Linked DNA regions of Callithrix jacchus. The protein of the gene in region 1 purifies or fractionates together with the protein of each later gene. This does not show direct contact. Links are inferred from orthologs where the notes say so. Each region holds a gene or a part of one and is shown in the gene's direction. Other genes may lie near its edges.

Evidence for each region. Proteins that work in one complex are often made in the same cells at the same time.
Region 2: the proteins of RBX1 (region 1) and FBXO42 purify together in Homo sapiens (affinity purification with mass spectrometry; 4 studies listed by BioGRID and IntAct, with this or other methods). This does not show direct contact. The link is inferred for Callithrix jacchus from reciprocal best matches to the Homo sapiens genes RBX1 and FBXO42.
Region 3: the proteins of RBX1 (region 1) and CUL7 purify together in Homo sapiens (affinity purification with mass spectrometry; 9 studies listed by BioGRID and IntAct, with this or other methods). This does not show direct contact. The link is inferred for Callithrix jacchus from reciprocal best matches to the Homo sapiens genes RBX1 and CUL7.

The regions. Positions count from the first base shown.
Region 1 is NC_133502.1:191,767,107-191,772,730, forward strand, and holds the start of RBX1 (E3 ubiquitin-protein ligase RBX1), read left to right. Parts: upstream 1-2,278; 5' UTR 2,279-2,299; coding exon 2,300-2,377; intron 2,378-4,813; coding exon 4,814-4,892; intron 4,893-5,624. UniProt on the Homo sapiens protein: E3 ubiquitin ligase component of multiple cullin-RING-based E3 ubiquitin-protein ligase (CRLs) complexes which mediate the ubiquitination and subsequent proteasomal degradation of target proteins, including proteins involved in cell cycle progression, signal transduction, transcription and transcription-coupled nucleotide excision repair.
Region 2 is NC_133508.1:53,658,448-53,664,078, reverse strand, and holds the start of FBXO42 (F-box only protein 42), read left to right. Parts: upstream 1-1,933; 5' UTR 1,934-2,146; intron 2,147-5,631. UniProt on the Homo sapiens protein: Substrate-recognition component of some SCF (SKP1-CUL1-F-box protein)-type E3 ubiquitin ligase complex. Specifically recognizes p53/TP53, promoting its ubiquitination and degradation.
Region 3 is NC_133505.1:51,529,806-51,535,298, reverse strand, and holds the start of CUL7 (cullin-7), read left to right. Parts: upstream 1-1,795; 5' UTR 1,796-1,799; coding exon 1,800-1,950; exon of another isoform or gene 1,951-2,039; intron 2,040-2,834; coding exon 2,835-3,512; intron 3,513-3,835; coding exon 3,836-3,987; intron 3,988-4,129; coding exon 4,130-4,630; intron 4,631-5,427; coding exon 5,428-5,493. Other genes in the region: MRPL2 (large ribosomal subunit protein uL2m), read left to right, coding at 1,211-1,423. UniProt on the Homo sapiens protein: Core component of the 3M and Cul7-RING(FBXW8) complexes, which mediate the ubiquitination and subsequent proteasomal degradation of target proteins. Core component of the 3M complex, a complex required to regulate microtubule dynamics and genome integrity.

The DNA.
Region 1 (5,624 bases):
ACCACACCTGGCTAATTTTTGTATTTTTGGTAGACCCAGAGTTTCGCCATGTTGGCCAGGCTGGTCTCAAACTGCTGTATTCAAGTGACCTGCCCACCTTGACCTCCCAAAGTGCTGGAATTATAGGCCTGATCCACCCCACCTAGAGGGTAGCTCAATAGCTGAGACTTTTTTTTTTTTTTTAGATAAACGCTCACTCTTGTCACCTAGGCTAGAGTGCAGTGGAACAATCTAAGCTCATGGCAACCTTCACCTCCCGGGTTCAAGAGATTCCCCTTCCTCAGTGTTCCAAGTAGCTGGGACTACAGGCATTCGCCACCATGCATGCCCGGCTAATTTTTGGTTTTGTATTTTTAGTAGAGACGAGGTTTCACCATGTTGGCCAGGCTGGTGTGGAACTCCTGACATCAGGTGATCTGCTTGCCTTGGCCTCCCAAAGTGCTGGGATTAGAGGCATGAGCCAGCTTGCCCGGCTCTGAGACTTCTTGATGTATTTATGTGTTGACTTGTGTATTGTTCCCTAACTAGGGGTTTATCTGACTCTTACTATGGCTCTCCTGTTTCAAATAGAACCTGGCACATATCAATACTTTTATTGAATGATGGATAAATATGTCTTCAATGCCTTAATTTACAATGTGTTTCTGGTATTCCCATCAGGACCTGTAGGCACACAATACATTAATGACAGATATTTTCACATAAAATCATTAAAACTTGGGCTAAGAAAAACTCTGTAGGCTTCCTATAGCTCTTTAAGGTCTCAAACAATTTTTCAAGTCTGGTTAAAGCTGTGGTGGTGTTTTCCAGGATCTGCTGTTCCTGTTTATGACTAAAAGGGAAACAAATCGCAATTCTTTCACTGTTATTATTATTATTATTTTGAGATGGAGTCTCGCTCTCTCACCAGGCTGGAGTGCACTGGCACTACCTCGGCTCACTGCAACCTCTGCCTCCCGAGTTCAAGCGATTCTCCTGCCTCAGCCTCCTGAGTAGCTGGCACTACAGGCGCATGCCACCACACCTGGCTAATTTTTCTATTTTTTGTAGAGATGGGGTTTTGCCATGTTGGCCAGGCTGGTCTCGAACTCCTGACCTCATGTGATCCATCCACCCGCCTCAGCCTCCCAAAGTGCTGAGATTACAGGCATGTGCCACCATGCCTCTAAGAGTGATCTGGCAGTCACACCTCTGCAAGGTTAGAGATGTCAAAGGGAGTCCTGGTCTAGGCAGAAATGGGAGAGTGACACGAAGTACAGGTGCTTGTGCCGGGCGTGGTGGCGTACTCCTGTGAGTACTCACTGTGGGAGGCCGAAGTGTGAGGATCGCCTGAGACCAAGAGTTCGAGGCCAGCCAGGGCAACATAGTGAGACATTGTCTCCATTAAAAAAAAAAAAAGATCAGAATGCCTCACAAAATTCAAGAAATACAGTGACTTCAAGTGGGTTGGTTTCATTATAGCTCAAGCAGCAGACAGAGGACACGGACCGGGAAGAAATCACCCCACGCAGATGACAACTGAGGAAGGGGGAGTGGGGACTGACACGCTATAGTGAAGCCGGGCACCCCAACCAAAGGCGGTCCTAGGACTGCGACTAGGCGGGCGCAGAGGCCACCCCCCAGGCTTCGCGGGCGGGTGAGGGCAGGGCTGGGGGCCTGCTCAGTCTGGCCTTGAGGAGGGCCTTCTGAGGTCTCCCTTCTTCCCATCGAATCCCCGAGCAGTTCCCAAACAGAAATCGGAGACCAGACGGTGCCTGCGCTCCAGCCCTCTCAGGAGGACTGCACCTCGGGCCTGGCTACGAGGCGGGTCAGAGTCTGCGAAAGACCAGCGAGGGCTCTCGGGTTCTGGGGTAGGCGGCGGGTACCCACCCCCGCGCCTTCCCCAGCCCGCACTGGGAGCTGCGCGGCGACCCGGAGAGCCCGACAAGCCGGGTAGGGCTGCGGCGCAGGTCGTGCTCATGCGGAGGAAACAGCCGCCGCCCCAGCTGACGGAGTGTGGTCGGGGGCTTCCCAGAAGAGGCGGCGAGAGCAAACCCTTTCGAACATTTCCACCAGGCTAGCTCACGTAGCCTCGGCCCCGCCCCAGCCACTCCCGCCACCGCCCCCACCGGCCGACACGACGCGGGTGGGGCAATCTGCGCCAGCCCCTTTAAGAGGCGTGGTGACGTGCTCCGCCCCCACCTGCCTCTCGCGCGCCAATAAGGGGTGGGGTGTGGGAGGAGGTGCCGGGAGGCGGGGGAGTGAGGCGTGCACAGTTGCGCAGGCGCGGTGGTCGGACGACAGATCTTGTATTTCCAAAATGGCGGCAGCGATGGATGTGGATACCCCGAGCGGCACCAACAGCGGCGCGGGCAAGAAGCGCTTTGAAGTGAAAAAGGTTGGGTCTCGCCAGCACCTTCCTCAGGGAAGCTAGAGAGGCGCGGATCTGGCTGGCAGGCCCCAGGATGGTCGAGGCGCGGAGTAAAGGGTTTCATTTCAGGGCGTTCCTGGGACCGGGTACCACGAAAGGAAGCCGGGGGGCGGGTCTTAGAGTTGATCGGCGTGACGGTGGCCCACTGTCAGGGACGTGTTGGTTTCGCTGTGAGGCTGAGGGGCCAATCACGGAGCTGCTTATTGAGATACGCGGGGTTGCGATTTGGCGGCAGGAGCCAAGCGCTTGAGCTGTCACTGGAGTGGTCGAGGTGGGGGAAGGACAGGGTGGGGTAGGGTGGGTGAAATGGGGAGTCGGAGTGACTGCGGCGGTGGAGGATGGGGCAGTGCGGCGAAAGCTGGGAACAATCTGAGGTCGTACTGCATTGGAGGCCTCTGAGGGACCCCGCTGGTGATCTTGCCCCGCCCCTTTTTGAAGCTTGGGGTCCTCTCACTTTGAGGAATCCAGACTTGGTGCTCGCCGAACCGAGGCCTCCATTAACCCCATCTCTGGGCCTCACACCGTCTAAAGAGTCTGGAGTGTAGTGCTTGGCTCTTCTGAGACGTCTGTTGTCTTTTCACATAACCATCTCAGTCCTGGGTTCTCTGTCACGTCCAGAATCTCCCCCTTCCAAAATAAAAATAAAAAGCATGGTGGCATTTGTTAAGAAAATCCGAGCCCAAATCCTGTGGCATTTAGGGAGGGTTGAGTACTAGTCGTGAATGACTTGGTAAGAGTGGAAAAGCAAAAATGGAACGTGTCTTTTTATATGAAATGCCTTTTAGTGGTTTGCCACAGTTTGGGGGACAGTGTCGATTCCCACCTAACATGAAAGCTGTTCAAAATGGAGATTCTGAAATAGGGAAGATATTCCTGGAACATCTGGTTAAACACTGACATATCCCCCCTCCTAGTGCTTTTTGGTGTCTCATTGTGGCCACTGCTGCTCAGTTACAGCCAGCAGCCATATTGAAGAATAATAGAAGAGGGGCTTTTCCTCCAAGTTGAAACTGTGATGTGAAAAGTGGGAAAGAAGTTATAAGGCACTGAGAATGGGGTCTGAAAGTGATGAAGGTTTGGCAGTATTCGTAACTGAGGAAGCCAGAGTGGAATAACTGAAATGCCACTTTTAGTTAAACTCTTACTGGAATTATCTCAATACAAGACATAAAAGTTGGGAACATCTGTTTATTTTATGGTAAGAATCAAACAAAATTCTAGTGAATTCTAGAATTTGTTATAAAGTAATCTTCTAAGATTTAAGTGATGACCTTGGTCTGTGTACTGACACGGGTACTTAATTATCCAGCTTATCCCATGATTATCCATTTTATGGTCCCATGATCATCTTAGTTCATTCTGTTCCCTAGCTTTCACCTCACTGCTCATGCTTCCGGAGCTTCCTGGAAGAGCAGATACTCACTCAGATTTTGAGCTCTTCTGCAACTGCCACAAAAACCTGCACAGTAATTCAAGTTTGTGTTTATTAAGCCTACAACGGGCAGTTAAAAATTGTTCCTAATTTGTTTACATTGATACGGCTGACAATTATTTTATTTCATTTTTTTGAGGCAGAGTCACCCTTTTGCCCAGGCTGGAGTAAAGTGGCACCAATGTCAGCTCATTGCAACCTCTGCCCCCGAGGTTCAAGCAGTTCTGCCTCGGCCTGCCGAGTAGCTGGGATTATAGTCAACTGCCACCATGCCCAGCTAAGTTTTGTATTTTTACTAGAGATGAGGTTTTGCCATGTTGGCCAGGCTTGTCTCAAATTCCTGACCTCAGGTGATCCCCTCGCCTCGGCCTCCCAAAGTGCTAGGATTATAGGTACAAGCCACTGTGCCTGGCCACTAACTAAATTGTTTTATTTTATTTTATTTTGAGATGGAGTTGTGCTGTTGTTACCCAGCTTGGAGTGCAATGGCACGATCTCGGCTCACTGCAACCTCCGCCTTCTGGGTTCAAGCAATTCTGCCTCAGCCTCCCGAGTAGCTGGGACATCAGGTGCGCACTACCGTGCCCAGCTAATTTTTGTATTTTTAGTAGAGACAGGGTTTCACCTCGTTGACCAGGATGGTCTCGATCTCTTGACCTTGTGATCCACCCGCCTCAGCCTCCCAAAGTGCTAGGATTATAGGCGTGCTCCTGGCCAAAGTATTTTAAACTATAAGAAACAAAAGATGACTCATTAATTTCTGTGTTGACATACGCAGCCTTTTGGAGAATGGGAGAACATACGTGTAGTCTACCGTTGTCCTTTGATATAATAAGAATAATGTAATATCCAGAAACTTGTGTTTGGTGGTTCCCCATGGCCGAAGAGGTGGTAACTGCAGCTGCAGCATGAAGTCGTAAAGAGTGTGTGTTACAAGGAGAATGCATTGTTCCCTCTTTTTGTCTTTGCAGTGGAATGCAGTAGCCCTCTGGGCCTGGGATATTGTGGTTGATAACTGTGCCATCTGCAGGAACCACATTATGGATCTTTGTAAGTAATTGGAGGAGGATGGGAGAAAGTTGAGAAGGTTACAGAGATTGTGGCTATCTTGATGTGACCAATTTTCTTCTTCACAAGGAGATAGAAGCCTATGCTGAGCACTCGGTCTTCTGTATCTAATCTGTTGATGTGTTGGAAATAGAGTAGTTTTTTTATGATGTCCTGGAAGCATACCCAGCTCTCAGAATAAATCTACTCAATCTAAAGATGGCAGGGACACATTTAGAATGAATTGTGGACAACAGGCACTATTGACTCTTCCTGGGTATCTCCCCTCTTGTACCTAGACTCGAAGGTAGAAATAGTGAACAGAGGAAAATAAACTTTGAGCTAAAATGTTCTGTCTGAGGCCAGGCACATTGGCTCACTTTGGGAGGCCAAGGTGGGTAGATCATGTGAGGCCAGGAGTTGACCGGACTGGCCAACATGGTGAAACCCCAACTTTATTGAAAACACAAAGATTAGCCAGGCATGGTGGTGCATGCCTGTAAACCCAGCACTTTAGGAGGCAGAGGCAGGCAGCTTATTTGAGGCCAGGAGTTCAAGACTAGCCTGGCCAAATGGTGAAACCCCGTCTCTACGAAAAATACAAAAATTAGCTGGTCGTGATGGTGCATGTCTGTAATCCCAGCTACTTGAGAGGCTGAAGCAGGAAAATAGCTTGAACCTGGGAAGTGAAGGTTACAGTGAACTGAGATCACACCACTGCACTACAAACTGATC
Region 2 (5,631 bases), on another chromosome or scaffold:
GCACATGCTTTTAATCATAGCACTTTGGGAGGCTGAAAGCAAGTGGATTGCTTGAGCTCAGGAGTTTGAGACCAGTGTAGGCAACATGGTGAAACCCTGTCTCTACAAAAATGAAAAGAATTAGCTGGGCATGGGGGTGCTGCCTGTAGTCCCAGCTACTCAGGAGGCTAAGGTAGGAGGATGGCTTGAGCCTGAAAGGCAGAGGTTTCAATGAACCAATAACTCGTCAGTGCACTCCAGCCTGGGCAACAAAGCCAGACCCTGTCTCAAAAAAAAAAAAAAGTTATCAATAGAAATGAATGTCAGGGTTATTATAAGGGGTTGTGGACAACAAAGTTTTTTTTGTTGTTGTTATTTATTTTTTTTTTTTTTGAGATAGAGTTTCGCTCTTGTTACCCAGGCTGGAATGCAATGGTGCAATCTCGGCTCACTGCAACCTCCGTCTCCTGGGTTCAGGCAATTCTCCTGCCTCAGCCTCCTGAGTAGCTGGGATTACTGGCACACGCCACCATGCCCAGCTAATTTTTTCTATTTTTAGTAGAGACGGGGTTCCACCATGTTGACCAGGATGGTCTCGATCTCTTGACCTCGTGATCCACCCGCCTCGGCCTCCCAAAGTGCTGGGAGCCACCGCGCCGGGCCTCTTGTTTGTTTTTCTGAGACAGTCTTGCTCTGTCGCCTAGGCTGAAGTAGAGAGGCACATTCTTGCTCACTGCAACCTCCGCCTCCTGGGTTCAAGCGATTCACCTGCCTCAGCCTCCCGAGTAGCTGGGACTACAGGCGCGTACCACCATGCCCAGCTAATTTTTGTATTTTTAGTAGAGATGGGGTTTCACCTTTTTTTTTTGACCAGGATGGTCTTGATCTCTTGACCTCGTGATCTGCTAGCCTTGGCCTCCCAAAGTGCTGTGATTACAGGTGTCAGCCACCTCGCAACCGGCCTGCAATTGTTAATCAGTCTTAAGGTCTGTTGTGTTGATGTTAGTGCTGGAGGGTATAATGAGGCATGTCTGACCCCCACTTCCTGTCATGGCCTGAACCATGTTAAATTTAGACTGCCCTGGTCAATTTACCTCTCTGGCCTGGCCTAGGAGAAAGTCCATTCAGAATGCTTGGTGTGGTGGTAGTGGTGGTGGGGAGGGGCTTAGTTTTTTTTTTTTTTTTTTTTTTTTTGCTTACGGAGTTTAGACTGAAGCCCTTGACTCCATCTGGCATTTCCTTAGACCACATGCTGTATGTAGGGCTAAGCTCGTGAAGGTTCGTTCTCACCTACACACCAGGTTGCTCCCTTGGGAGGGGGCTTTGCTGGAATCTATCCCTTGGTGATAGCCAGTAGGATGTAAAGGAACTTGGGAATCCTACATGCCCGAGTTTAAATCCTATGTTTCCCGCGCCGCCCCACCTCCACTGCTAGGTGTGTGGCTCTGGACAAATAACTGATCGTTTTCCGTGCCTCAGTTTCCTCATCTGAAAAGTGGAGCTAGTAAAACACCTCACACAGTGGTTGCTACAAGGCTACTACGATTAAGGGAGGCTTCTCTTGCACACCTCAGGCGGAGTTTCCCTCCCCGTGGGGATGTCCAGGGGCACTTACATCCGCCACCTCTGTGCTCATCGGGCCCTCGGGGTAGAACTTAGTTAATTCCTGGCTAAAGGTTGGTCTCAAATCACAGGGAAAACCACCCAGGTGCTCCAGACATTTGCAGCGGAGGGTGGGTGCGGCTATGAGGTCGACGCTGGAGACGCGGCGAAGACGGGTGCGGAAGCTTCGCACCCCCGGAAGATTCCATCCTCCACAGAATCTTGGTCTGTAGCCACAGCCCTTCTCAATATGGCGCCGCCCCCTAGCCGCCCCGCGCCGGCCCGCCGCGTTGACGTGAGTGCGCGCGCGTGTGTCCTTCGTGCCCGCCCCTGCGCATGCGCGCTCTGCTCTGTCTTCTCTCGGCTAGAGCAGCAGCTGCGGCGGCGGGGTTTGAGTGGAGGAAGATGGCGGCTCTGGGTGGCTTGGGGTCCCGCCAGCTGTGAAGAGCCCGGAGCACGGCTATCGCGGCCTTAGGCACAGCGCCTCTGCTCTGGCCCTGTCCCTGGCTCCCTCATTACCGTCGCCACCGGAGCGAACCCGAGAGCTTGGAGCGGGCTGGGCCAGGTGAGGCCTCTCCTCCTCCCGGGGCCGCGATGGGGAGCTGGCGCCTCCTGCCCTTTATGCCCGGGGCTGGCAAGGGGCAGCGGGCGCCCCTGGTCTGGCGCAGGTCCCGCATCCCGCGCAGGGGTCGGTCTTGGTTGGGCAGGGCGCCTTGCTATCGCCGTCCTTGAGTGAGGAGGAGAGGAGGAGAGTTCCTTTCCAGCCAGCCCTTGGGTTGGGAGCGAACCCACCCTCTCTCCCCAGCAGGGTGATTCTCGTCCCCTCACCCGGGCAGTGAAGGGATGTGTGGCCCGAGCAAGGATGGCTTTAGGGTGTCAGATAATCTTTCATCGGGCCTCCGAACCTTTTACTTCTTTGCGAGAGAGGAGCCGGGAGTCGGGTGCCCATCAAAATTGGGGCTGCGGCTGGGGGCCAGCATCACTGAAGCTGCAGTTGCAGAGGGATAATTTGGAAATTGGTTTTCGTGAAATAAAATAAGCGGCCTTTCCTAGCCCCTAGCTTGTTGAGTGTTCCCCTAGAGAAATGGAAACTGCGGATCTCCTTGCTTGAGACAGCAATCCATGCTGTGACTGTGGAAGACTTCTCTTGGCGAGAATTGTGTGTGGTAAGGGAACGGTGGAGGGTGGGAACGAATTTGTAAGCGAAGAGAAAGCAATTGTGAGATCTTGATGGTCTCTGCAGGGTAACCTCAGCGCCAGTTGAATTCGTTTGAAACCTTCGGATTGTTAAGATTCAGAATAGCCAATTGCTTTGTCTGTTAAATCTCCCGACTTTTATTAGGAAAATAAAGGCTTCATTTCTTAATTGCCAGAGTCTTTGGATTTTTCTGTGGTGGGATTCTGATGGATCTAGATGAAGATCTGACGCTTTACCAGTTCTCACTTGCCGGCAGCAACATTGTAACTATGCTTGTTCCTTTTGGAGAACAACTTTTGTTGTTGTTTAAATGCTAATTGGGAGACTTTGTGTTTCTCATGTAGGGAAGTCGGTTTTGAAGCCTTGTGGCCTCTTCCTTGAGGAATGATGGCTTCATTGGACTGTGCTGTGGGGAATTGTTGAGGCAATTGCTTTTGCTTGGACACACCAAAATACCTTTTGTAACACATTGGCTTTACTTGTGCTTAAGAATGGTGACGTCATGGATTTAAAGAGAAGGAAAATTTGGAAAGTACCATCATTTACAATTGAACATTTAGAAATAAGTCTATAGCTCTTATGAACATTGGTGTTGCTGTGTTTAATTGCTAACTTTGAGTGTATTCATGTGTGTAATCTGATTGGGTGTCTTTTCTATTGTATGTTATTTTAACTATTTGCTTTTGACATGCCAATATAAATGCATTATTCAATCCACATTGATCCATGGGCATGCTGTATATCTTAAAAAGATTTTCCTTGGTGAAATGACAACTGTTTCGGTTATTATTTGACCATTTCTCTCTCTTTCTCCTTTTTTTTTTTTTTTGAGGCAGTCTCTCACTCTGTCACCCAGACTGGAGTGCAGTGGCATGATTTCGGCTCACTGCAACGTCCATCCCTTGGGTTTAAGCGATTCTCGTGCCTCAGCCTCTTGAGTAGCTGGGATTACAGGCGTGCACCACCACGCCCAGTTAATTAGTTTTTGTAATTTTAGCAGAGACGGGGTTTTACCATGTTGCCCAGGCTGATCTCAAACTCCTGGTCTCAAGCAATACCCCACCTTTGCCAGGCTTGAGCCACCGTGCCCAGCCTCCTTTTCTATTTTTAAATCAGACTTTTCCGTAGAAATTTGTCGATTTTCTTAGTGTCTTTGCTAAAGATGTAAATCTGAACTGTCAGCTTCTCTGTGGTAGAAAATTGGAGAGCTACTTTGCATATCAATTCACTAATAAAGAGTCATGAAATTAATGCAGTAAAACATCCTGGTGGCTCATCATTATGCTTCTTGGCATAATATGTTGCACTGTTATGCTAAATCATCATCACTTATTGATGCAACTGCGTGACATCCATGACATCATTTGCTCTCCAGATTTTGACTTTTGCAATTCCTTACCTTACTCAGTTACAAAAAGAACAGGATCAGAAAAAGGTAGCTTAGGATGCTTGTTCTTGTCTGGTTTCTAGAAGGGTCTTTAATAATTGCTTTATTAAGTTTAAACCCTTCAGATTCAGAACTGGATGAGTCCTACCTATTATCGAGAGCAAGCAAAGAAAATGCTAGCAAAACATGAATTTTATGAGAACACTGAGATCCCAAGGAGAAGCTATCTCAAAGATGAACAAACATGTAATTATCTTTGTGATTTCAGGATTGTTTTAGTCATCGAAGTAACTGTTTATAAAACCAGAAGCCATTTGATTAAATAAAGCCCTTCCCATGATTGTTAATGTGGGTCAAAAAAGACAGTGTTTGTGAAAGTGCTTTGTAAAATGTAAAATAAAAGGTAAATATAAAATTGATTATTCCTATTTATGAGCTACCGAATAAAGGCCCTCTGTTTGGCAGGTGTTTTGGGAAGTAGGTACTAATAACTGTAAGATAAGACAGATAAGACAGCTTTTGGTCTGAAGTTGCAGACAGTATGGCTTGGGAGGTAGACAAGGAAAGCCATTAAGTTCTGTATAGTGTAAGAAGTGCACTGAGGCTGGGCATGGTGGCTCACGTCTATAATCCCAACACTTTGGGAGGCCAAGGTGGGTGGATAACGAGGTCAAGAGATCAAGACCATCCTGGTCAACAAGGTGAAACCCTGTCTCTACTAAAAATACAAAAATTAGCTGGGCATGGTGGTGTGCGCCTGTAATCCCAGCTACTCAGGAGGCTGAGGCAGGAGAATTGCTTGAACCAGGAGGCAGAGGTTGCGGTGAGCCAAGATCGTGCTATTGTAACAACAGAGAAACTCCATCTCAAAAAAAAAGAAGCGCACTGAATCCAACCAAGAGAGCCAAGGAAGGCTTCTTGGAGCAGGGATGGCTTTACCCCAGTGTTTCCTATTATTCTACAGAGTCTGCCTTTAGTGAGTGACTTGCTTTTTATAAAAACTTTAAAAAAAAATTCTGTCATGAGTTATTTTCCCCTTTTATTCATTCACTGTCCTGACACTTCCCACACAATATGCCCCAGTTATGGCTTCTGCATTCTCAAAAATCCAGCAATCTTGGGAAAACCTTTCTATATGAGTCATACACACAGGCAACAAACACAAACATTGCAGCTACAATTAAAATATCTCAGATTACTAAGTGGTGACAACTTTAGAGTGATGATGCTTTTTTGTTTTTGTTTTTGTTTTGTAAACTAGTACAAGAGGCACTGTGGTTTTAATTTGATCACATTTAGTTAATACAGTAAATATTTAATGGTCATTGCTATAATCAGTGTTGATTATAGGTAGTTATTAGTACTGTCTCCTTTTTCTCAATAATAAATAAAATGAGAAGGTCGTAATTCGTTTTGGATTGAAGCTGACAGCTTAAGTCAGAATTACACTAAACTACAGAATCTG
Region 3 (5,493 bases), on another chromosome or scaffold:
ACTAATTTGTGTTTTTTCAAGACAGAGTCCTGCTCTGTCGCTCAGGCTGGAGTGCAGTGGAGCGATCTCGGCTCACTGCAATCTCCACCCCCCCAGGTTCAGTCTATTCTCCTGCCTCAACCTCCCAAGTAGCTGGGACTATATGCATGAACCACCACATCTGGCTAATTTTTTAAATTTTATTTTATTTTGAGATGGAGTTTCACCCTTGTTGCCCAGGCTGGAGTGCAATAGCATGATCTCGGCTCACCAAAACCTCCACCTCCCAGGTTCAAGTGATTCTCCTGCCTCAGCCTCCTGAGTAGCTGGGATTATAGGCATGGGCCACCACACCTGGCTAATTTTGTATATTTAGTAGAGACAAGGTTTTACCATGTTGGTCAGGCTGGTCTCAAATTGCCAACCTCAGGTGATCCACCCACCTCGGCCTCTCAAAGTGCTGGGATTATAGGCATGAGCCACCGCGCCTGGCCAATTTTTGTATTTTTAGTAGAGATGGGGTTTCATCGTGTTGGCCAGGCTGGTCTCAAACTCCTGACCTTAATCTGCTCACCTCAGCCTCCCAAAGTGCTAGGATTACAGGGCTGAGCCACCATGCCCAACCCTAATTAATTTTTTTGAGACCGGGTTTCTATTGCTTGAGTGCGATGGCACAATCATAGCTCACTGCAGCCTCAAACTCCTGGGTTCAAGCAGTCCTTCTGCCTCAGCCCCCCAAGTAGCTGGGACTACAGGCACATGCCACTACATCCAGCTAATTTTCATATTTTTTATAGAGATAGGGTTTTACCATGTTGGCCAGGCTGGTCTTGAACTCCTGGCTCAAGCGATCTGCCCTCCTAGGCCTCCCAAAGTGCTGGGATTACAGGTGTGAGCCACTGCACCTGGCCCCGGCTAATAGTTTTTATTTTGTAGAGATGGGGTTTCACTATAGTGCCTGGGCTGGTCTCAAACTGGGCTCAAGTTACCCTCCAGCCTCGGCCTTCCAAAGTGCTGGGATTACTGGCGTGAGTCAGTGCACCCGGCTCTTCGATTTCAACTACCTTGTTCCTCCTGTAGGACCTTCACTTAGCTTCACCCGTCTTGTGCTTTTTCTTTCTCCTCTCCCTTCTCTCATTGAGTCTAAGACGCCCCCCAAGGGTTGTGCTCTAAACATTGTCAAATCTTGCCCCCACATCGTACATTCTTCTCCATCTGTTTTCTCTGTCAGGTGCTGGAAACGTGCATAGCAACAGTAGGTCGAGTATCCAACGTTGATCATAACAAACGGGTTATTGGCAAGGCAGGGCGCAACCGTTGGCTGGGCAAGAGGCCTAACAGTGGGCGATGGCACCGCAAGGGGGGCTGGGCTGGCCGAAAGATTCGGCCACTACCCCCCATGAAGAGTTATGTGAAGCTGCCTTCTGCTGCTGCCCAAAGCTGATATCCCTGTACTCTAATAAAATGCCCCACCTCCTGTTTTTATCTGTTACTGTTTTTTGCGGGGGAGGGGATGGTACAGACAGAATGTGGGGAGAAGCAGTAAAAAGTGTCGGAAGATAAAGACAGGACACTGTGGGTCTGCCCCCACCCCAGTTCCCTTACAGGTAATGGAGCCCGAGGATGGAAATTAGTGACGTCCAAGGCCTTTTCCAGTTCTGACTTTGGGAAACGGGGAGGGCACTTCCGGCAGGAGGGAGGACAAAAAGGAAGAGGAAAGGGCGGCGCAGGGAAGGAGGTGCTGCGTCGCCAAGGTGGCACCCGCAGCTCCGCCCCAGCGCTCTCCCAGGGCCCCTAGCTTTCCGCTGGGTCTGGCGGAAATGAGCCGTGGCTTTTGGCAGGCGGAGTCACTGGCAGGGACCAGGCCCCACCCTGCCCCAGTGGCTGCCGACCCACGCGGGCGCTGCTGTTCTGTTCCGCAGAGGCACACCCCCTCAGATCTCTCCGTCTGGATCCCCTCGCGGGGCCCAGGTGGGACCCAATTCGTCGTCAGCGTCTGTGCCGCGTCCCTTGCTCTGTGAAGGACAGGCCTCGCGTCAGGACCCCGGTGGACTTCTGAGGTGGCCAGAGCCCCGCTGCGGCCCCTTGCTCCTCCCCTGACCACTTGCCCGTGGATCCTCGCGCTCACTTGACCTCGGCCCCGCATCCCACCGTGTCTCGGGGTTCTAGTTTATGGGAGTTAGCCCCTCTCCCCCACCTTATAGCGCGCGTTCCAGGCTTCTCGGGTCTCCAACCTCGGTCCCCCAAGCCTCGCGCCCCTCCCCTGCCTGTTCTCCTGTGCACCCTGCCCTGGGTCTCACAGCGCCCCCACCAGCCCTCTTGCTCCGGTTGCTCCAGTCAGAGGTGCCTCCAGCCCATCGCGCCTTGCCCTCAACCACCATTTCTCGGGTCTCTTAACTCTGCGACTCACACTCCCATGTTCCAATCGTAGAGACAGCACCCTTTTCCACACACACACTCGCGATCTCCTTCCCAGCCCCCCATAAATCTACCCCTCTGGGCTTCACATGCCCCCAGGGTTGCTGCCTGTCCCAAAGTCTTGGAATTCACTTGTAAACTCCAAGGCTGCCCTGCCCCCACTGTCTGCCCACTATTCCAAACCCACCCACTCCAGGCTGCAGGGTTTTGGGGACCTTCCTTTTAGCCCCCAAATTTTGTGTTCTTTCACAACACAACCCCCGTGTTCTCTGCTTAGGCCTGCCCCCATCCAGCGTGCAGCATGCAACTCCTGGGCCTGGCTTTACCCCACCCTGCCCGACAGCTGTTGCCATTTGCTTCCCTAACTCCTGGATGTCTGATTTTTCTGACCTCTCCTTACTCTAGCTTGTCTGTTCTCTCTTCCTTGTGTGCTCCAGGTGCCAGGATGGTGGGGGAACTCCGCTACAGGGAATTCAGGGTGCCCCTGGGGCCTGGCTTACATGCCTATCCTGATGAGCTGATCCGCCAGCGAGTGGGCCATGATGGGCATCCTGAGTACCAGATCCGCTGGCTCATCCTGCGGCGTGGCGATGATGGGGACGGGGTCGCTGGCCAAGTGGACTGCAAGGCTGAACATATCCTGCTGTGGATGTCTAAGGATGAGATATATGCCAACTGCCACAAGATGCTGGGCGAGGATGGCCAGGTCATCAGGCCCTCCCAGTCTGCAGGGGAGGTTGGGGCCCTGGACAAATCTGTACTGGAGGAGATGGAAACTGATGTGAAGTCCCTCATTCAGAGAGCCCTTCGGCAGCTGGAGGAGTGTGTGGGCACCATCCCTCCTGCTCCTCTACTTCACACTGTCCACGTGCTCAGCGCCTATGCCAGCATCGAGCCCCTCACTGGGGTGTTCAAGGACCCAAGGGTCCTGGACTTGCTCATGCACATGTTGAGTAGTCCCGATTATCAGATTCGCTGGAGCGCAGGCCGGATGATACAAGCCCTGTCCTCCCATGATGCTGGTGAGGGGCAGTGTGGGGAGGAAGGGAAAGCAGAAGGGCTGGGTCGGCTCAGGGACTCACAGGACACTGTGGCAGGAGCCTCTAATCTCATCAGTACGTAAATGATTCTGTTGCCCTTCTCTTAGAGTTGGAAGAAAAGGAGGTGGGAATGGGGGTGAGGGCGGGGGGTATCTGCCAAAAGAGGAAACCCTATCTTCAAAAATCTCATGTTAATTAGTTACTTTTTATGCAAAGGAAGAATTTAGACTATTGCAGATTGTGTGTGTGTATATAAGTTAGCAAATTTTAACTTTTGAAGCAAATCAATGATTTCCCACTGTGTGGTGGCAAAAGGATTGGATTGAAAGAGTAGACGGTCCAAGATTTTAGGAAGGGTGAGGTTGGGGAGAAGTTACCGATTGGGGTGTGGGTTACAGGGACCCGGACTCAGATCCTTCTGTCACTGAGCCAACAAGAAGCCATTGAGAAACACCTGGATTTTGATAGCCGCTGTGCTCTGCTAGCACTGTTTGCACAGGCCACGCTCTCTGAACATCCCATGTCTTTCGAGGGCATTCAGCTACCACAGGTAACCTTTGGGGTGTAAGGTGGGGGGAGCTTGTGAACCAGATCTAGGGACTGAGTCTTTGCACCTGTCTACAGAGGATGGTGTGGAGAGAGGGGCTTAAAATGGGACAAGATGGATGTAGACCAAAGATTGTATCCCACAGGTCCCAGGAAGGGTGCTCTTCTCCCTGGTGAAGCGGTATTTGCATGTCACCTCACTTCTGGATCAGCTGAACGACAGTGCTGTGGAGGCAGGAACCCAGAACACCTCTGCTCCTGAGGAGTTGAGTGGGGAGAGGGGTCAACTGGAGCTGGAGTTCAGTATGGCCATGGGCACCCTGATCTCAGAGCTGGTGCAAGCCATGCGCTGGAACCAGGCCTCAGACAAACCAAGGAGCTCTGCACGGTTCCCTGGTTCCATCTTCCAGCCTCAGCTGACAGCTGTGAGCCCAGGGCTCCCCACCGCCCAGGCTCAGCCCTCCTTCAGGAGATCAAGACGGTTTCGCCCTCGTTCTGAGTTTGCAAGTGGCAATACCTATGCCTTGTATGTGCGGGACACACTGCAGCCAGGGATGCGAGTACGGATGCTGGATGATTATGAGGAGATCAGCGCTGGGGACGAGGGCGAGTTCCGGCAGAGCAACAGCGGCGTGCCTCCTGTGCAGGTGAGTGGCACACAGTGGTGGGACACTGCTGGGGGTCTATTTGGGGTGGGGCAGAGCTGGGGACTTCCCCATGGAGGGGCTCCAGCAGGCCACCCAAAGAGAAAGCTTTTAGTAAGATTGGGATGGTGGGCCAGTCACAGTGGTTCATGCCTGTAATCCCAGCACTTTGGGAGGCCAAGACGGGCGGATCATGAGGTCAGGAGTTTGAGACTAGCCTGGCCAACATAGTGAAACCCTGTTTCTACTAAAAATACAAAAAATTATCTGGGCGTGGTGGTGGGCGCCTATGATCTCAGCTACTCAGGAGGCTGAGGCAAGAGAATCGAGGTGGTAGTTACAGTGAGCTGAGATCACACCATTGCACTCCAGCCCAGGCAACAGTGCAAGACTTCATCTCAAAAAAAAAATCTTAGTTTAGGAGGTTGTGACGGCAAGAAGACTCACACCCAGCAAGAAACAAATATAGCCAGACTCCTCCAAAGGTCAGGGTCAGGGAGATGGAGTGGTAGAAGGAAGTATAGGGGCATAAGCCATCAAACATAGGGTGAGAGGAGAGGCAGGCCCATCCCCCAAAGGAGAAGGCATCCTTTGCATGTGTGTGTGTGTGTGTGTGTGTGTGTGTGTGTGTTTGTGTTTATGTGTATTCTCCATATGCTGCTGTTTTGTCACATGGAGGTTTTTCTAAAACCTGGCCAGGTAGTCACCCTGAGGGCTGTAAGTCCTCAGTATTGGACCACAGCCAGTCATTAATGAGTCCTCCCTTCCCCTTCCCTCTCTTTTTTTTTCCTATCCTCCAGGTGTTGTGGGAGTCAACAGGCCGTACCTATTGGGTGCACTGGCATATGCTGGAGATCTTGGGCTTT